Caenorhabditis elegans: one gene and its partner. The protein of the gene in region 1 purifies or fractionates together with the protein of each later gene. This does not show direct contact. Each region holds a gene or a part of one and is shown on either strand. Other genes may lie near its edges.

Region 1 (10,292 bases):
CTGCCTCAATTGTCTTGCATAATTTTTTTTGTCAATTTTCTTCAATTTTTCAAACTTTCTCCAACTTTCTCTCTCAATTTGCCCCAAGATCTTCAAATGTATTCCTTTATTTTTTTTTCTTTTTGACGACCCAAATATTGCCTTCAATGTTGATAAATCGGTGGAATGAATAGTAATTTTCATTTTAATTCCTATAAATATAATAGATTTAAATTTTAATATCACAAATAATTGGCAAATGATCGGAAGGTGAGATTGGAGACGGCAGTGCTGTGTATTTTATCACTTTTTCGTGGCTTGGAAGTGGACAGTGGCGGATTGAAGTGGCTCCTGAAGAATATACAAATTTTTAAAATTTTTTTAGCAATTCGATTTCTCCGAAAATCGAAGAAAATAATTTTAAAAAATTTGAATTTTTCCATTTTTGAATTTTTTAAAATATTAAACCGCATTTTTCAAATCAAATTTTTTTAACAGCCTGATTTTTTGGTAAATTTAATTTTTACTCAAATTTAGGTCAAAAATTGAAAAAAAAAGTTAAAATTTTTTAAAAATTTTTTCCAGAATAATTGCAATTTTTATTCTAGCGAAAAAAATTTTTAAAAATTTCTGAATTTTTTTTTCAAATTTTTGAACTACGAAAATGTCCAGTTTTTCAGTGAATTTAATTTATTTTTAATTCATATTTGAAAGTTTTTTTTTTAAATTAAAATCTAAAATTTTATTGAAACTGTAAATTTGATTTTTTCCAAAATAAAAGAAAAACCTAAATTTAGTTAAAATTCTAGATTTTTATTTATTTTTGAGTTTTAAAAAATTCGAATTTCGGAAAATGCCTGAAATTTTTTTCAATTTTTTCAGCAATTTTTTTGGCAATTTCCAAAAAAAATCTAAATGCTTACCAACTCCCCAAATATAATCCAAACATCCGACAAATCCATCCTTTTGGCTACTTGCCGTGTAATTTGTATATTCTGGTGTTCCAGTGAGACAATCCATTTTCTTATCGATTTTTATATCCTGTGGAGTAATTTTTGAGTCGCAATTCCACACGGCGTCTTCTTTTGGGAGATTACCCTGGAAACTAGTGTTTTTAAGAAAAAAAAAACACTTTTTTAAAAAACTTTTTTTTAGTAATTGCAATAATTATTTTGACAGAAAATTTTGGATTTATTCTTGGAAAAAATTGGTTTCATTTTGAAAATTAAGAGAAAAAAAATTTCAACTGAAATTCAAAAATTGCTCTTTTTTCGACGATTAAAAAAATTAAAAAAATTAAACTTTGATTTAGAATTTTTTTTTTGGAATTTTAATAATTTACAAATTTCGAATTTTCATTTTTTTCGGAGAAATTAGCATTTTTTTTGTGGAAATACATATTTATTATTATTTTCTAAATATATGAAAAAAATCGAAAAAACAATTTTTTTATTAAAATCTTTGGAAAATGGAAATTATCAAAATTCCAGAAATTTATCGTTTTTTTTTTTGAAAAAATTTAGAAAAAGTAAATTTTCAAAAATATTTAAAAATTCATTTTTTTTTTTTTGAATTTTTCGATTTATCACCTATTTTTTTTTTAAATCTGAAATTTTCAAATTTAAAGCGGTAATTTTGGAATTTTTGTTTGAAAAACTAAAAATTTTTTTTACCAAATTTTGGTGTTTTTTTTGGAAATTCAAAACTTTAAAAATATTGAATTTTCATTCACTTTTTGCTGAAAAACTCTGGAAATTATTCAAAATTCCAGAAGTTTGTCGATTTTTTACAAAAATTCTGAAAAACTTTTTGGAATACACATTTTATTTTTGTGATTAGTATTTTTGAAAATAATAAAAAATTCGATTTTTTGTAAATATTTATTTTTCACCTATTTTTTAAAGAACATCTGAAATTTTCAAATAAAAAAAAACAACCGCTCTAGTTTTTTAGCGATAATTTTGGAATTTTTGTTTGAAAAATTTAACTTTTTTTGGAAACTTGGAAACACTAGAATAATTTTTTATTTATTTTTTCAATTTCCTTGAAATCAAAAAAAATATATTCACCATGCTCATCAAATTAAACACAGCTCCATTGGGTGTACTATTGAAATCTCCTCCAAATAAGACAAGAACCTCAATTCCTTTATTCAATTCTCTAGTTTCCTCGTAAATTTCCAAAAGTTTCCGTGTACAAGTCAATGCTTGTAGCACTTTCACGTGTTCATCTATAGGATTATGGTGTAAATGTGTATTGCCGCAGACTAGAAGTTTCCCGGTTCTGGAATCTTTTAGAACCACAATTTGCAAAACTGTGGGACGAGTTGAAAATCGTTCTTTCGATTCTTCTGATGTCTCAAGGATCCCTAGAATATCTCCACTAGCTAGCTCGGCAACTCCGTAACACTTTGAAGAGATCACTTGAAACCTCTGACTATCGAAAATAATAGCAACTCCTTCGGAAACTGTTCCAACTTTTTTCGCGATTTCACTAGAATAACTGATCGTATTTAAAAATGGCACAATGAAATTCTCATGACGACTGAGATCAACTTCTTGAAGGAATATCAGAGAGCACCGGGCACTATGAATGAAATCATGCAGCTGTTTCAGGAATATTGGTGTTCGGTAGATAATTCGTTGGCTCGATTTTTGGCAATAATTGAAGAATAGTTGTTCTTGTGGGAGTGTGAGGTTTAGGTAGAGGTCAGCCAGAATGTTATACGACATTATTCGAATTCTGTAATAATTTGGAATTTTTTAAAAAGAATTCTATTTAAATTCTAAAATAAAATAATCGTTTCTTTTTTCGAATTTTTTTGTGTATTACGATTTTGAAATGTTTTTTAATTGTTCTAGATTTTCACATGTTTTTTTTTAGAAAATCTGAAATTTTCCATTTTTTTAAACAAACGCTTTAGTTTTTAGCGATTACGAGAAGCGATCGGTAATTTTGGATTTGTTTTTATTGAAAATTTTAACTTTTTGAAAAAAAAATTAAACTTTAAATTTTTAATTTTAGAAATCGTTTTTTTTTTTGGAAAAAAGGTTTTTTTAATTTCAATTTTTGGTTTGTCCCTAATTTTTAAGAAACTTTAAAAAAAAAACTAAAATACAGTTAAAATTCAGAAAAGAACTCCGCCCACGTCGTCTGATTGGTTGAAAAAAAGGCGGAGCAAATCGCTGAGTGGTCCTGCAGTGTTTCTACAGAAATTTAAAAAAATCGCAAAAAACTTGTTTTTTGCTCCAAAACCGAAAATTATTCTAGGAAGAATTAAAAAAAAAGGCTTTCAGTTTTTTTAATATAAAAATCGAAATTTTTTTTTATTTTTGTATTTTTTTTCACTTTTTTCATGAATGAAATCTTTTTTTTTTGTGTAAATTTTTGGATAATTCAGAAAATTAAAACGAACGTCGAATCATCTTCCAATGAGATTTCCTCGCACCATTTGACCTGCTCGTCAGTAATAACCTCATCGTGGAGCTGGGAAATCGGTCTCGAACTTATTGCAGCGCTGAATAATTTCTTTTATATATTTAAAATGTTTTTTTTTTTCATTTTTTGTTTTTCATAAAACTTAAAATCAACTTCAAAATTTTTTCGATTTTTTAAATTTTAATTTCAAAGAAGTGTTTTGGTTTTTCAAAAATTGGCAATTTTTCTCATTAAAATTAGTATTCTTTTTTATTTAATCTCTAGAAAATCACAAAACGTTTTGTAGTTTAATTGATTTTTGAAAATTATTTTTCTAAAAGATATTTTTTATTATAATTTCCCTAGCTTTCGAGAAAAATTTTCTTTTTTTTCATAATTTTTTAAATTTTTACTTTTTCTCATTAAAATTGGCTCTTTTTATCTGATAATTCAACATTTAATATTTTTGATTTCAAAAAAAAAAACCCAGAGCTTAAAAAAAAATGTTCAATATTTATTATTGAAATTGGAATTTTCTTTGACAAATTAATGGTGAATTTTGGTTTTTTTTTTCGAATTTTATTTTCCGAAAACGAAAATTATTCTATATCGGATATTAATTATTTATTATTTCTGAATTTTTTAAAGGATATTTTTTTTCTTAGTTTTTCAACAAAATTTTTTTTGTGTTAAGAGACATATTTTTCTACAATTTTATAGCTAATTTTAAGCATTTCGCCGCCTCCTTACTAGGCTGGATGATCTTTTCCAGACTCCACAACGACTGCGACCAGCCGGCTAACATCCTTCTCATCAGGCTGGAAATATGGCCCAGAATGCCTAAAACTGTATCCATGCAGCTTAAAAGTTCGAGCTGCCTCGTCCTCGAACGCCAGTTTCAGAGAATCGTTATCCTTCTGAGTTGGACCTAATTTTTCCGATTTTCCAGTCTCTTTTTGATCCTTGACGAACCAATGTAGCTGTACACGAGTTCCTTTGATATTGTAGGCAATTGTAGGCATACAGAATTGGCCGACGATCGGTGTAAGAGTAATTGATACTGTAGAAATTGGAATTCCGTTGCGAATTACTTCAAATTCGGAGCCATTAACCAATAATTTTGAGATCCTTTTATCATCAGCAAATTCTAGAGTCGTTTTTAAATTTATATCCTTGAAATTTTCAAATTCCGCGGCTAATTGCATCGAAATATCCTCCTCAGAAGCCTCGGTCCTTGACTTTTTCCTCATTAGCGCTGAAATCTGGAATAATTTGCTTCATTTTTAAATTTAAATAATTTGATAGATTTCCCTCACCTTGGGCAAAGCTTCATCTACCAGCTTCTGCTCAAAAGCTCGCTGAGTCTTTATCACAAAATGCTCCTCTCCGTGATTAAACTGGAACATAAAATTCAATCCGGTTTGGATTTTCTTTTTTTGCACTGGCGCCTCGGTTTTCCAGAGAAAGATTCGATTTGACGGCAGTAACATTGTTCGTCTTCTTTTTAAAGGTGTGATCAAAGCTTGTTCGTCCTGAAAATAAATAAATAAACAACTTTTTGAATAGAAAGCAAATTTTTAAAATTTACCTTTAGAATATCCTTCCAAGAAAGCGGTTGTTGGGGAGCTTTTCGGATGAATACTGACTTAAAGAAGTCTGTTAGATGTTTTAACATGTGAATTTAACAAAAATCTCATGAATAAGGCGGAGTTTGACACAAAAAAATCTCGGTTTTGAAATAAATCACAATATTGTTGCTTGTCCGAGAGGAGTACGCAGGAAAGGCACGGAGTATGCGCCAGCAGACGTTACTTGGCGCATCAAGAAACGCGCAAGCATAATATTCAAAATGGCATTATTTATAATATTTCCGGCAAAATTCAACATTGAATTTTTAATGGTGCGTCCATAGTCTGCGGAAAACGGGAAATTCCAGCCTGCGGAAGCGTCCATAGTCTGCGGAAAAAAACAAGGAGTTTCTCGCTTTGTTATTGGTCAATTTCAAAATAGTGGGCGTGTTCAACCAATTAGGGGCTGTAAAATTTTAAGCTGAGCAATGGGAAAACAAGAAGCAACAGCTGATTGGTTGGCCACGCCTACTTTTTTGAATTTTGAGGAAAAAAAGAGAGGAACTCCGGTTTTTCCGCAGACTATGGACGCTTCCGCACGCGGGAAATTCCCGTTTTCCGCAGACTATGGACGCACCCTAAGACATTTCACTTTTTTACTGTAAATAATGTATGTATTATTTACAGTAAAAAAGTGGAAATTACTGCCACTTTTTTAGAAAGTTATATTTCTCCCGCATTTTCAACGAATTAATTGTTCTTTACACCCCTATTGCCAAACCACTTCGTCCGAAATCCACCTCTCACAAATCCATTTACAGGCTTGCGCGTCGCGCGTGCTCGAATACCATATCAGTCAGAAGAAAAATGCGTAAAGAGCTCAAATCTATCAAACGAAGACTTGCTCATGAGGAAGACCAAGCCATTCACGCCACTGACTCCCGCAGTGTATTTCAGCTTGTAAAAAAAAGAATCACCCCCCGACCTCAACCTATCAATCTTGACATCAATAATGAAACAGTGTCTGACCCAGTGCGCATTGCAGATGAGTTTATTCATAACTTTGCTCTGTCATTCACAGCGCCTTGCCCACCCTTCCCAGCTCTTCCGGCACCCAAGCCCTCTAAATTATCCCTCGATTTCTCGCCGTTCAACATCCACAGGCATATCAAAGTTCTTAAAGCCAAAATTGGGTTTTCTACCGACAATATCAATTTCTTTATCATAAAAAAGTGTAGTGATTCTCTAACCGTCCCCTTGTCCATAATCTTTTCCGAGTCATTCTCCAGCTCCTTCTTCCCGACCCCCTGGAAGACTTCCATCATTGTCCCATTACACAAAAAAGGGTCCACAACTAATCCGGGTAACTATCGCCCGATTACACTTACTCATCCATTGTCTAGACTATTTGAACGAGTTGTACTTGATGCTCTCAAGCAGAAATTATCTCCACTCCTCTCTTCCAAACAATTCGGTTTCCTGCCTGCGCGCTCATGCACTCTGGCAGTTCTCGAATCGACGTCCAAAATTCAGAAAGTCCTCCTTGACAAGAGCAAGTATGTGGATACTATATATTTCGATTTCAAAAAAGCATTCGATAGTGTTCCCCACAACTTGCTTCTTCTCAAACTTCTGAATGTTGGGCTCGATTCAGGATGCTGTGAGTGGATCAGCTCGTTCCTCAGTAACCGTTCATCGAAAATCAAAATTGATCATTTTATCTCGGACAACTCTTTCAATGTCATGTCTGGTGTCCCCCAAGGTAGTGTAACTGGACCATTCCTCTTTCTTTTGTATATTAATGACTTATTATATTTTCTTTCTTTTGTATATTAATGACTGATTTGTTCCCCCCTGATGTCCATGTTACAGCCTTTGCCGACGATCTAAAATTACTCGGATCGGACCCCACCTCTATCCAAACAAGCATCAATATTGTCGCTGATTGGTGTAAAAAATGGCGTCTAAATCTTGCTGAGCACAAAACTGCCGTATTACATTTTGGAAAAAAGAACCCCCGTCATAAATACTTTGTAAATAGTGTTGAAATTAAACCGCGTGATTCTATCAGAGATCTCGGAATCATTGTCGATACCAAATTATCATTTGTAAATCATATTAATCAGACTTCTAATAGTGCCCTCCTTAAGTGTCGCCAAATCCTTCGTTCATTCCGCTCTAAAAGTCCCGAATTCTATTTTAAACTGTTCAATGTTTACATCCGCCCCGTACTCGAATATGCCTGCGAGCTCTTCCCGCCCAACTCCACCGAACTTGCCAAAAAACTCGAATCTCCCCTCCGGTTTTTCTCAAAGTGTGTCTTTCAAAGGTGCAATTTATCTTACTCGTCATACAGTAGTAGGCTTTCAGAATTTAATTTATTGTCTACCCACCATAGACGGGTTCTTCAAATCCTCCGAACCTTCCATAAAATTATTTCAAGCGAGTATCACTTCCCGTCCTTATCATCGTTCGTTCGAGCTTCACGCTCTACTCGTCACCCCTATCTACTTGTTGTCTGTGGTGTCCCGTCTAAATGTTTTCTACATGTTAACTTGTCGTTGTGGAATCGAATAGCAAAACGTTTCCCTCAATTGTTAACTCCAAATGCATTTGCGTCGCGCCTAGGCTCTATCCCATTTGACACCCTCTTCCCCCCAACTTGACCTCCCGGGCTATAGCTGGTCCAATTGGTCATTTTACTTATTTGTCCACACATCTTTTTTATTTACTTTTTTTCTTTATCTTCCGGTGTAGCTATTTCTTGTGACAAATAAACAATTATTAAATATTATAGCACAACCAAATGTTTTAGTATTCAACTTTTTATCACAAATACAAGCAAAACGAAGTGAACCATAACAATGAATGTGTGAATAACATTTCCAATCTGGGACCTATTTTTTAAATACCAATGAGACAAGTTGAAAATAAAAGAATCTAACTACAAACATTTAGTTTAACATATTTAGGATACCTAGGAGAATTGAATAATGTAATAGTCGCTGCAGTCCCATCCTTTCGTCGGATATTAAATACTTCAAAATCGTCCAATTTTCCATCAGTTGGTGGTTTTTGATAATCAATTCCATTCAAGGCAATTGTAGTGAACTCGTCCAAATTTGAACCGTTTTGGGCATACATAATCAAAATCTCCAGCCATTGATTTGATCCATTGATCCAGTGTTTCAAAAATAGGCAAATATCTGTTAGGGGTAATAGTGTATGCATAAGTATTTCGGAAATATTTGAAACTAGTAAGTCTTCCAATTTAATTGATTCGTCTTGCTTTATCATAATGTTTTTAAAGTTACAACAGGTGACTGCTTGAAAATCTTGAACTCTCGGGGAGAAACAGCTTAGGAGCAATTCATCAAAATTCCATGAACATCTCTTCAATAGGTTTCCGTGAAAAGTGTCCATGTAAGGAGATGTAAAGTGTAATGTTTCGATATTTAAGCTATCGAATTCTTCAATGATGGATTGGTAATCGTAACTACTAATCGTCAGTTGAGAAACTTTTTGTTGATGGAAAATGTCAAGGATATGGTCTAGAAATTTTCTTAAACCGATTTCCGACACTTTAAAGGACAAGCTTTCAAGTGTATTGAGTTGGACGTCTATGGAAATTATTGTCGACATTGTTAAAATAATGTTATTAGCTCTCAAATTCAACGATTCAACTATAGATTTAGCAAATTTTGAATTGAAAGATATGGAAACTCTGGAAAAATAAAAGTTATTAAAAGTTAGAACACAAATAAATAATTCGATTTAAATACTCACAAATAATACACATCCATTGTTTGAAATAATAAGCGTAGCGGTTTGGAAGGTAGTCGGAGAATAGGGAAACCAGCCATTTTGGTTGTAATAAGGACAACTGGACAATGGAGCAATGGACAACTTGGTGACTGATGAACGAGTATCGATTTGTTATATATATATATAACGCTGCGTTCTTTAAAACAACGCGAATATGGTGCATTGATAAATTAATTGATAAATAAATTAAACAAGTGAATTTGAGAGTTTTTTTTTTTGAAAAAAACTCCTTCTAATCTCACACAATCTTGACAAAACCACATTTTATTCACTTTAAAATCTAAAAATCAGCGCATTCAAAACTTTGATGCAAACATTAATTTTCGAAAACTATTATTCAAATATTCGCAATTTTCGCTTATCCGAGAGGAGTACGCAGTGAGGTGTGCGACAAGTGCGTCAGCAGTGGTTGCCTGGCGCATCGAGAAACGCGCAAGCCAATTTATTTTTGTTTTTTGTTTTTCTTCCCGATTCATCGGAATTTCGCGATAAATTTGATTTTTTTTGATGATTTTAACTTGAAAAATGCAAGAAAAATAGTTTTCTCCATTAAAATTACCAATAAATCCCAATAAAACCAACCATTTTCCAGGTTTTATGCCACAAGTGCAATAAACGTCGCCATGCTTCGAGGTTTTTTCGGGCGCCGCTCGCGGTCAGCATGGGTTCGGCTCATTTATTTGTGCATCGTCACAATAATCTTCCTTTTCGCCACATCACAGTTCAAATCGACGACAACTCACGCGAGATTCGTGCCAGAGGTGAGAAATCGCTGGAAAACCGATAAAACTTAGTATTCGAAGAAAAACAAGAGAAAAAATTGCAAAATTATGTACAAAACATCGAATTTTAACATAAACTCGTATTTTTTAATGTAAAAATTCAGAAAATACTTGAAATTTCGTAAAAAATCAGGGACTTTCAGAAACAAAACCAAAAAAAAAAAAAGCAAAAATAGAAATTTCGAGGTTTTTTTCCTGAATTTTTTCCCTTAAAAACCACATTTCAAACATTTTTCAGTGCTCGGATGCTCGTATCGTTGTTTTAAATGTAAAAATTTTTAAAAAAATCGGGGGAGTTTTAGAAATTTTCAGAAAAAAAATATCGGAAAATGCAAAATAAATCGTAGAAATTTCTAAAAAATTTAAATAAAAAAAGTGAAACACAGAATAAAGCAGAAATATTCAATTTTTCGGCTTTTCAGGCAAATAAAAATTAAAATTTCGAGGTTTTCATGAAAATTAATGATTATTCTTCCGATTTCTTCGGAATTTTTCACTAAAAACCAGTGATTTTGCAAATTTCGTAGTTTCGATTGCAAAAATTCAAAAAAAAAAGAAGTTTTGTTCAGAAAATGTATTGAAAACCCATAGAATACTTGAAATTCCGGCAAAAAAATTTATTTAAAAAATTAAAATACACAAAAATTGAAATTTTGAGGTTTTCCTGAAAATCAATGATTTTTTTTCCGATTTTTCCGGAATTTTTCACTGAAAACCAGTA
Region 2 (10,292 bases), on another chromosome or scaffold:
GCATCAAGGAATAAATCAATAAAATCCTGAGGTTCTCCTGGCTCAACTCCTTTTATCTCATCTTTAGCTCGCTGATCAATTCTTGCCTGTACAGCTACTTCTATTAAATCGAAAATTTTGAAGGCTGGAATGAAACTTGCTGGTAGCATTTTTGACATTTTTCTGAAAACTCCTGCGAGCGGAGGAAAGATTCCAGTGATAAGGAACACATGCCAGGAACCGTTGAAAATCTGAAAACACTTGCTATTCTTCTTCAGAATATTATAAACATACGGCTTGAACTTTTGGCAGCAATGGGTTCTTGAACATGTTCGATTCAGACTGGCCAAGAGCAATGCGACTAATTACTCCCAGAGTGTACTCTTGATAGACTCTGAATTTTTATCATAAAACTTAATCACTTACAAAATTACCACTCACATTAACATATCAATATCTTCGTTCTTCCTCACTTTCTGCTCAATATTCCATAAAATTTCAGTTCCACATTCTTGAACAGAGTTCCTCACTTTTCGAAGACTGTTATTGGAAAAAGATGGACTTGACAGTGTCCGAAGACGTTTCCAACGTTTTCCTTGAGTCGAGAAAATATTGACTCGTTTGTCTTTTTCAGGATCACCAATGATTGGACGCAACTTTCGACCATAGAAATTGTCGAATTGTTTTTTGAATATTTCATTGACCATCTCTGGTTCCGAGATTATCATAGTTTGTTGGGGTCCTTCTGTGAAACCGTAAACAGGACCATATTGCTGAAAGTTTATTTTATTAGTTTTCATTGAAATTTAAAAGTTTTTGAAATTTTTGAAACTAGCAGAAATGCGAAAAGGTTTCTAAATTAAAAAAAAAACAACGCACTTTAGTCCAATCCCTGTACTTTAAAAACGGTGGATTCTCATGATCGATGGTCTGAATCAACATTCCAATTCCAGGGAATCCACGTGGACCTTTTATGCCCTTTCGAATAAAATATGACCAGATCCATACGGAGTATGTGAATACTCCTAGTAGAACTGCAGATAATAAAACGAAAATCATGTTTTTATTTTCAGGAATAAAAAAGAAACGTATTGATGTTTTTCGGTAGACCACCTTATAAATAGTATCGGTGGTAGAAACAACAGTCAGACACAAACAACACTTTTCCACACAAATGTGTCGACTGTTGAGATATAGTGTACTGATAAGAGAACATAGAGAATGGGGCAAGCACTTTTTGGAAGGTATAAAAGTTGTACCAATATTCTTCAAACTTTTCACTGCTCAAATGCAAAAAACATAAAGAGGTGATGGAGAGCAGATGGTAGTTAGAAAACTTTTTAAAAAATTAAAAATGATAATGGAGTTTAAAAAAAATATCAATATGTAGAAACAATAGAAAACTAGTTTTGTTTCAGAGATTTGGTTGATCTAGAATTTTAAAATTGTTCTTCATATCTAAAATTTCTTGAAAGAAAGTTAGGGATGAAAATGAGCACTGAAGCTGATAAATCCAAAAAAAAAACTTTTTTTCGTAAGATTAAAATTTTTTGCTTTTTTTCGGCAATTAATTTTTTTAAAACGAGAATATACATAATAGGTTTAGATTCACAAGCTACAAATATGTGACTGTAATAATTATAAAACCATCAGATAGTTTTCAAAAATTGATAAAAGTTTGAAAAAACATCCTCTAAACTTTATTCGAAAATTGAGAATACATTCTAAAGTATCCAGACTACGAATTTTGAAACAAAATCTTCTTGATTGCTGGGTTTCTCCAAATCATACGATTCTTGTCACCCACTTTCTTGTTCTATTAAACACAAACCATAATGTTTTGTGCGACAAGAAGATAAGACTAAAAACTAACTTAACAGATGATCGACAAAAAAGTATATAAATAATGCCACATATTACACAATTTAATTTAATTTAATTTTTTTTGAAACTAGACATGAGTTTCAGTATACTCATAGCTATTGCAATATTTGTTGGAATAATTTCCTATTATTTATGGATTTGGTCATTCTGGATTCGAAAAGGAGTCAAAGGGCCTAGAGGTCTACCATTTCTCGGAGTTATTCACAAGTTCACAAACTATGAGAACCCTGGAGCTTTGAAGTTCAGCGAATGGACAAAGGTAGAATGAATTTATTTATTTTACATTAATCATTAAGTAATGTTTAATATTTCAGAAATACGGACCTGTTTATGGAATTACGGAAGGTGTTGAAAAGACGTTGGTAATTTCGGATCCAGAATTTGTACATGAAGTTTTTGTAAAACAATTTGATAATTTCTACGGGAGAAAATTAACTGCAATTCAAGGAGATCCAAATAAAAACAAGAGAGTACCACTTGTTGCTGCTCAAGGCCATAGATGGAAGCGATTGAGAACTTTAGCTTCTCCTACTTTTTCGAATAAAAGTCTAAGAAAGATTATGGGTACTGTAGAAGAAAGTGTTACGGAGTTGGTCAGATCATTAGAGAAAGCAAGTGCGGAAGGAAAAACTCTTGACATGCTAGAGTATGTTTCAAAATAAAAAGTTTGGAACTGTTTAGACAATTAACTTTTTTAAAGATATTACCAAGAATTCACAATGGATATTATTGGAAAAATGGCAATGGGACAAGAAAAATCCTTAATGTTTAGAAACCCAATGCTAGATAAAGTCAAAACGGTTTGTGGAATGACTTGATTTTAAATAATTTATTTCAAATTTTTCAGATTTTCAAAGAAGGACGAAACAATGTTTTTATGATCTCTGGAATATTTCCTTTCGTTGGAATTGCTCTACGCAACATTTTTGCCAAATTTCCATCACTTCAAATGGCTACCGATATTCAAAGTATTTTGGAGAAGGCTTTGAACAAACGACTGGAACAAAGGGAAGCTGATGAGAAGGCTGGAATTGAGCCATCTGGGGAGCCTCAAGATTTCATCGATTTGTTTTTAGATGCTAGATCAACTGTAGACTTTTTCGAAGGCGAAGCTGAACAAGATTTTGCTAAAAGTGAAGTCTTGAAAGTGGATAAGCATCTGACATTTGATGAGATTATTGGACAACTGTTTGTTTTCTTGTTAGCTGGATACGACACGACTGCCCTTTCTCTGTCATATTCTTCATATCTCCTGGCAACACATCCAGAGATTCAGAAGAAATTACAAGAAGAAGTGGATAGAGAATGTCCAGACCCTGAAGTCACTTTTGATCAGCTGTCGAAATTGAAATATTTGGAATGTGTTGTGAAAGAAGCATTGAGATTGTATCCATTGGCGTCTCTGTTAGTTTTTTTTTAATTTCTAAGTTTTGCCGTGGTGTAGTTTGTTCTCTGTAATTAAAAAATAATTCAGTGTTCACAATCGAAAATGTCTCAAAACCACAAATGTTCTGGGAATGGAAATAGAAGCTGGAACAAATATTAATGTGGATACCTGGTCTCTTCACCATGATCCGAAAGTTTGGGGAGATGATGTTAACGAGTTCAAGCCGGAAAGGTTGGTTTTATTTGACAATTATTTATTTCATCAAATGTTCTACAGATGGGAGTCCGGGGATGAACTATTCTTTGCTAAAGGCGGATATCTTCCGTTCGGCATGGGACCAAGAATTTGTATTGGTATGCGATTGGCTATGATGGAAATGAAAATGCTTTTGACCAATATTTTGAAAAACTATACATTTGAAACCACACCAGAAACTGTGATTCCATTGAAGTTAGTCGGAACTGCTACTATTGCGCCATCAAGTGTGCTGCTCAAACTTAAATCCAGGTTTTGAAATGTGTTTTGTACGGATTGTTGTCTTTGTTTATATATTTACCCAATAAATTTGTATGTTCACGTATTTAAAAGCACAAACTTCTATGTCAGTTACTTAAAAAATTAAATTTAAAGCTATTTGTATTAAGTTGAAGAAAGTTAAAACAACATGGAGGGATTAGGAAAGGTATATTATAATCAAACTCTCGGCTTCAATGACAAGAACAAGTTTTCAGGCCTTGCAGTTGCTCGGCCTACTAATTTAATCGGAAGCTGTGTCTTCGCATTTGTCTCGAAAGTATATTTTTTGAGTATATGTGACAATAATCCTTTCTGCTCCAAAAGTGCAAACCGCATTCCGAGACATACTCTGGGTCCAGCACCAAATGAGAGGTATGCTTGTTGAGGAGTTAATGGAGAGTCCCATCTAAAAATATTTTTAAATTACTTTTTCATAGAATCTTGATAGACGTCACTACGCTCTTGAAAAATCTTTCTTAAAGTACGCATCGAAAATATCTTACCTTTCAGGCTTGAACTCTTCTACGTCATTTCCCCATACATTTTTGTCATGGTGAAGAGTCCAGGTGTCGATCATCACATCAACACCAGCTTCTACAATTTGCTCTCCGATAACCGTATTTCTCATGCATCGGCGGGAGTTTGCACTGAAAGTAAAATATATTTAATTTGTAAGTAAACATTGGAAACTCACAAAGAAGCAAATGGGAACAATCTTAATGACTCCTTGATCACATTATCCATATATTTCAATTTTGAAAGCTGATCAAATGTGATCTCATCATTTGGACATTCTTTGTCTACTTCGTCTTGTAACTTGCTCTGAATTTTTGGATTCAATGCCAAGAAGTATGTAACATAGGAAAGGGAAATGGCTGTAGTATCAAATCCAGCAACTAAAAATACAAAGCACTGGCTAATGATTTCTTGAGTGGTCAGTTGTCGGTTATTCTGAAATTGAAGGAATTTATAAAAATCACTATGTTAATTTCAAGCTTACATAGGAGGATGATTTATGGAATTCGTCATTGCTTTCACCAAAATGTTCAACTTCGGCTCTTGCATTCAAAAACATATCAATATAATCAGCGGCCTCTCCTGGCTCAACTCCATGTTTCTTATCGGCTTCTCGTTGAGCAATCCGGGACATCACTGCGTCCGTTACCGATTTTTGCACGACAATAAAGGGACCAGCTCCGAACTTGCCTACTTTAATGAACAACCATTTGAGAAAAGACACAGCAAATGGAAATCCTCCACTGAACATCCAGATCTGCCAGCGGTTGTGCTCGAAGAACTGTAAAAATACATTTTTGTTAAACTTTTAAAATTAAAAATCAATCCAACAAAGGAGATGAACCTACCCCTTTAACATCCTTTAATAATGGATTTTTAAACATTTGGGAGTCGGGTTGTCCCATGGCAACTCTGGAGATCACGTCAAAGGTGTACTCCTGGTAGAAACTAAAATTTAACAGTAAAACACCTTAATTAGACCGCTATGAACAACTTACAGATGCATATTGACTGCTTTTCCATTCTCTGATTCTTCTCTTAATTTTTTCATAAGCTCCTGTGTGCTATCTTCCATTGTAGTCAATACTTTTTTGATACTGCCATTTGAAAATGCAGGTGCCGTGATTGTTCGGAGACGTTTCCATCTGAAAGTTATCAATTAAAATATGCGAGTGGCAGGCAAGCCAGCACGTCTGAAGTGGTCTCCTTACCTAAAACCTTGAGCTCCAACAATATGAATATCCTTATCCTTATCTGGATCTCCTTGAACTGGATTATGCTTTCTTCCATAAAAATTATCGTACTGTTTCACAAGGATTTCCTGAACCAAATCAGGATCTGAAATCACCATGACTTTCTGCATTCCTTCAGTGAATCCATAAATTTTTCCATATTCCTTTGTCCATTTTTGAAGAGTGTAACCCGGTGGGAAACTATCCTCCAGCATAGCTCCAGCTTTTCCGAAAATCGGAACTCCCCAAGGGCCTGGCAATCCACGTCGCTTCCAGAAAGTCCAATGCCAGAAATAGTAGGTAACAATTGAAATTAGGATGAGCTCGAAAATCATTTTTCAGACGTTGAAAATGCTGAATTTATAAAGCTTCCAATTCTCAAAAAATGAGATATCCACCATAATTTTCTTTCATTTTTATATCTGCCCGAACAGTCACAAACCAAATTTTTGACACAGAAAATGTATAACTACTATCCCTTTTTAACTTTTCCCTCTCTCCACAAACACATACTATCAAGCCATGAGTGATGCAAAGTTTTGACGATAAGAAAGTTTCGAAACAACTGATTATTGTGATAGAAAAATATGATTTGTCGCGTGTGATTTGAGCATGATCAAGTTCAAAATAGGTGGACAGATAACTAGAGTGTTATTATTGGCCTACAGTAAATAAAGTTTCTAAATTAAAGTTTGGTTACTGTAGCGGTATTTTCCATTCACGTTTCAAAAATTGTCTAATCTCCATAATTCTCAGTTTAAAAAAATTTGAAAACCAGTGCACAATTCAAACTCCATATTCTCAATAATTCTCAGTTTAAAAAAAATTGAAAACCAGTGCACAATTGAAACTCCATTATTTCCATGATTCTCAGTTTAAAAAAATTTGAAAACCTGTGCACAATTGAAACTCCATATTCTCAATAATTCTCAGTTTAAAAAAAATTTGAAAACCAGTGCACAATTGAAACTCCATTATTTCCATGATTCTCAGTTTAAAAAAATTTGAAAACCAGTGCACAATTGAAACTCCATTATTTCCATGATTGTCAGTTTAAAATAATTTGAAAACCTGTGCACAATTGAAACTCCATATTCTCAATAATTCTCAGTTTAAAAAAAATTTGAAAACCAGTGCACAATTGAAACTCCATTATTTCCATGATTCTCAGTTTAAAAAAAATTTGAAAACCAGTGCACAATTGAAACTCCATATTCTCAATAATTCTCAGTTTAAAAAAAATTTGAAAACCAGTGCACAATTGAAACTCCATATTCTCAATAATTCTCAGTTTAAAAAATTTGAAAACCAGTGCACAATTGAAACTCCATTATTTCCATGATTCTCAGTTTAAAACAATTTGAAAACCAGTGCACAATTGAAACTCCATTATTTCCATGATTCTCAGTTTAAAACAATTTGAAAACCAGTGCACAATTGAAACTCCATTATTTCCATGATTCTCAGTTTAAAACAATTTGAAAACCAGTGCACAATTGAAACTCCATTATTTCCATGATTCTCAGTTTAAAACAATTTGAAAACCAGTGCACAATTGAAACTCCATTATTTCCATGATTCTCAGTTTGAAAAAATTTGAAAACCAGTGCACAATTGAAACTCCATATTCTCAATAATTCTCAGTTTAAAAAAAATTTGAAAACCAGTGCACAATTGAAACTCCATATTCTCAATAATTCTCAGTTTAAAAAAAATTTGAAAACCAGTGCACAATTGAAACTCCATATTCTCAATAATTCTCAGTTTAAAAAATTTGAAAACCAGTGCACAATTGAAACTCCATTATTTCCATGATTCTCAGTTTAAAAAAATTTGAAAACCAGTGCACAATTGAAACTCCATATTCTCAATAATTCTCAGTTTAAAAAAATTTGAAAACCAGTGCACAATTGAAACTCCATATTCTCAATAATTCTCAGTTTAAAAAAAATTTGAAAACCAGTGCACAATTGAAACTCCATTATTTCCATGATTGTCAGTTTAAAATAATTTGAAAACCAGTGCACAATTGAAACTCCATATTCTCAATAATTCTCAGTTTAAAAAATTTGAAAACCAGTGCACAATTGAAACTCCATTATTTCCATGATTGTCAGTTTAAAATAATTTGAAAACCAGTGCACAATTGAAACTCCATATTCTCAATAATTCTCAGTTTAAAACAATTTGAAAACCAGTGCACAATTGAAACTCCATTATTTCCATGATTCTCAGTTTAAAACAATTTGAAAACCAGTGCACAATTGAAACTCCATATTCTCAATAATTCTCAGTTTAAAAAAAATTTGAAAACCAGTGCACAATTGAAACTCCATTATTTCCATGATTCTCAGTTTGAAAAAATTTGAAAACCAGTGCACAATTGAAACTCCATATTCTCAATAATTCTCAGTTTAAAAAAAATTTGAAAACCAGTGCACAATTGAAACTCCATATTCTCAATAATTCTCAGTTTAAAAAAAATTTGAAAACCAGTGCACAATTGAAACTCCATATTCTCAATAATTCTCAGTTTAAAAAATTTGAAAACCAGTGCACAATTGAAACTCCATTATTTCCATGATTCTCAGTTTAAAAAAATTTGAAAACCAGTGCACAATTGAAACTCCATATTCTCAATAATTCTCAGTTTAAAAAAATTTGAAAACCAGTGCACAATTGAAACTCCATATTCTCAATAATTCTCAGTTTAAAAAAAATTTGAAAACCAGTGCACAATTGAAACTCCATTATTTCCATGATTCTCAGTTTAAAAAAATTTGAAAACCAGTGCACAATTGAAACTCCATTATTTCCATGATTCTCAGTTTAAAAAAATTTGAAAACCAGTGCACAATTGAAACTCCATTATTTCCATGATTCTCAGTTTAAAAAAAATTTGAAAACCAGTGCACAATTGAAATTCCATATTCTCAATAATTCTCAGTTTAAAAAAAATTTGAAAACCAGTGCACAATTGAAACTCCATATTCTCAATAATTCTCAGTTTAAAAAAAATTTGAAAACCAGTGCACAATTGAAATTCCATATTCTCAATAATTCTCAGTTTAAAAAAAATTTGAAAACCAGTGCACAATTGAAACTCCATATTCTCAATAATTCTCAGTTTAAAAAAAATTTGAAAACCAGTGCACAATTGAAATTCCATATTCTCAATAATTCTCAGTTTAAAAAATTTGAAAACCAGTGCACAATTGAAACTCCATATTCTCAATAATTCTCAGTTTAAAAAAAATTTGAAAACCAGTGCACAATTGAAACTCCATATTCTCAATAATTCTCAGTTTAAAAAATTTGAAAACCAGTGCACAATTGAAACTCCATATTCTCAATAATTCTCAGTTTAAAAAATTTGAAAACCAGTGCACAATTGAAACTCCATTATTTCCATGATTGTCAGTTTAAAACAATTTGAAAACCAGTGCACAATTGAAACTCCATATTCTCAATAATTCTCAGTTTAAAAAAAATTTGAAAACCAGTGCACAATTGAAATTCCATATTCTCAATAATTCTCAGTTTAAAAAATTTGAAAACCAGTGCACAATTGAAACTCCATATTCTCAATAATTCTCAGTTTAAAAAAAATTTGAAAACCAGTGCACAATTGAAACTCCATATTCTCAATAATTCTCAGTTTAAAAAATTTGAAAACCAGTGCACAATTGAAACTCCATTATTTCCATGATTGTCAGTTTAAAATAATTTGAAAACCAGTGCACAATTGAAACTCCATATTCTCAATAATTCTCAGTTTAAAACAATTTGAAAACCAGTGCACAATTGAAACTCCATTATTTCCATGATTCTCAGTTTAAAACAATTTGAAAACCAGTGCACAATTGAAACTCCATTATTTCCATGATTGTCAGTTTAAAATAATTTGAAAACCAGTGCACAATTGAAACTCCATATTCTCAATAATTCTCAGTTTAAAAAATTTGAAAACCAGTGCACAATTGAAACTCCATATTCTCAATAATTCTCAGTTTAAAAAAAATTTGAAAACCAGTGCACAATTGAAACTCCATATTCTCAATAATTCTCAGTTTAAAAAATTTGAAAACCAGTGCACAATTGAAACTCCATATTCTCAATAATTCTCAGTTTAAAAAATTTGAAAACCAGTGCACAATTGAAACTCCATTATTTCCATGATTGTCAGTTTAAAATAATTTGAAAACCAGTGCACAATTGAAACTCCATATTCTCAATAATTCTCAGTTTAAAAAATTTGAAAACCAGTGCACAATTGAAACTCCATATTCTCAATAATTCTCAGTTTAAAACAATTTGAAAACCAGTGCACAATTGAAACTCCATTATTTCCATGATTCTCAGTTTAAAACAATTTGAAAACCAGTGCACAATTGAAACTCCATATTCTCAATAATTCTCAGTTTAAAAAATTTGAAAACCAGTGCACAATTGAAACTCCATTATTTCCATGATTCTCAGTTTGAAAAAATTTGAAAACCAGTGCACAATTGAAACTCCATATTCTCAATAATTCTCAGTTTAAAAAATTTGAAAACCAGTGCACAATTGAAACTCCATATTCTCAATAATTCTCAGTTTAAAACAATTTGAAAACCAGTGCACAATTGAAACTCCATTATTTCCATGATTCTCAGTTTAAAACAATTTGAAAACCAGTGCACAATTGAAACTCCATTATTTCCATGATTCTCAGTTTGAAAAAATTTGAAAACCAGTGCACAATTGAAACTCCATATTCTCAATAATTCTCAGTTTAA

The links.
Region 2: the proteins of pde-12 (region 1) and cyp-13A8 fractionate together in Caenorhabditis elegans (co-fractionation; one large-scale study listed by BioGRID). This does not show direct contact.

The regions. Positions count from the first base shown.
Region 1 is NC_003281.10:10,839,841-10,850,132, forward strand, and holds pde-12 (Endonuclease/exonuclease/phosphatase domain-containing protein), read right to left. Parts: upstream 5,181-10,292; 5' UTR 5,072-5,180; coding exon 4,985-5,071; intron 4,929-4,984; coding exon 4,713-4,928; intron 4,659-4,712; coding exon 4,147-4,658; intron 3,497-4,146; coding exon 3,395-3,496; intron 2,722-3,394; coding exon 2,049-2,721; intron 1,078-2,048; coding exon 903-1,077; intron 331-902; coding exon 209-330; 3' UTR 165-208; downstream 1-164. Other genes in the region: fbxb-85 (F-box domain-containing protein), read right to left, coding at 7,905-8,688, 8,751-8,827; hex-3 (beta-N-acetylhexosaminidase), read left to right, coding at 9,413-9,550.
Region 2 is NC_003280.10:9,801,684-9,811,975, forward strand, and holds cyp-13A8 (Putative cytochrome P450 CYP13A8), read right to left. Parts: upstream 5,887-10,292; 5' UTR 5,850-5,886; coding exon 5,494-5,849; intron 5,428-5,493; coding exon 5,281-5,427; intron 5,231-5,280; coding exon 5,131-5,230; intron 5,064-5,130; coding exon 4,767-5,063; intron 4,718-4,766; coding exon 4,461-4,717; intron 4,414-4,460; coding exon 4,270-4,413; intron 4,173-4,269; coding exon 3,944-4,172; 3' UTR 3,917-3,943; downstream 1-3,916. Other genes in the region: cyp-13A6 (Putative cytochrome P450 CYP13A6), read right to left, coding at 1-230, 274-373, 421-752, 859-1,038; cyp-13A7 (Putative cytochrome P450 CYP13A7), read left to right, coding at 1,937-2,122, 2,178-2,509, 2,564-2,663, 2,711-3,267, 3,338-3,481, 3,527-3,764. UniProt on the Caenorhabditis elegans protein: Cytochromes P450 are a group of heme-thiolate monooxygenases. They oxidize a variety of structurally unrelated compounds, including steroids, fatty acids, and xenobiotics.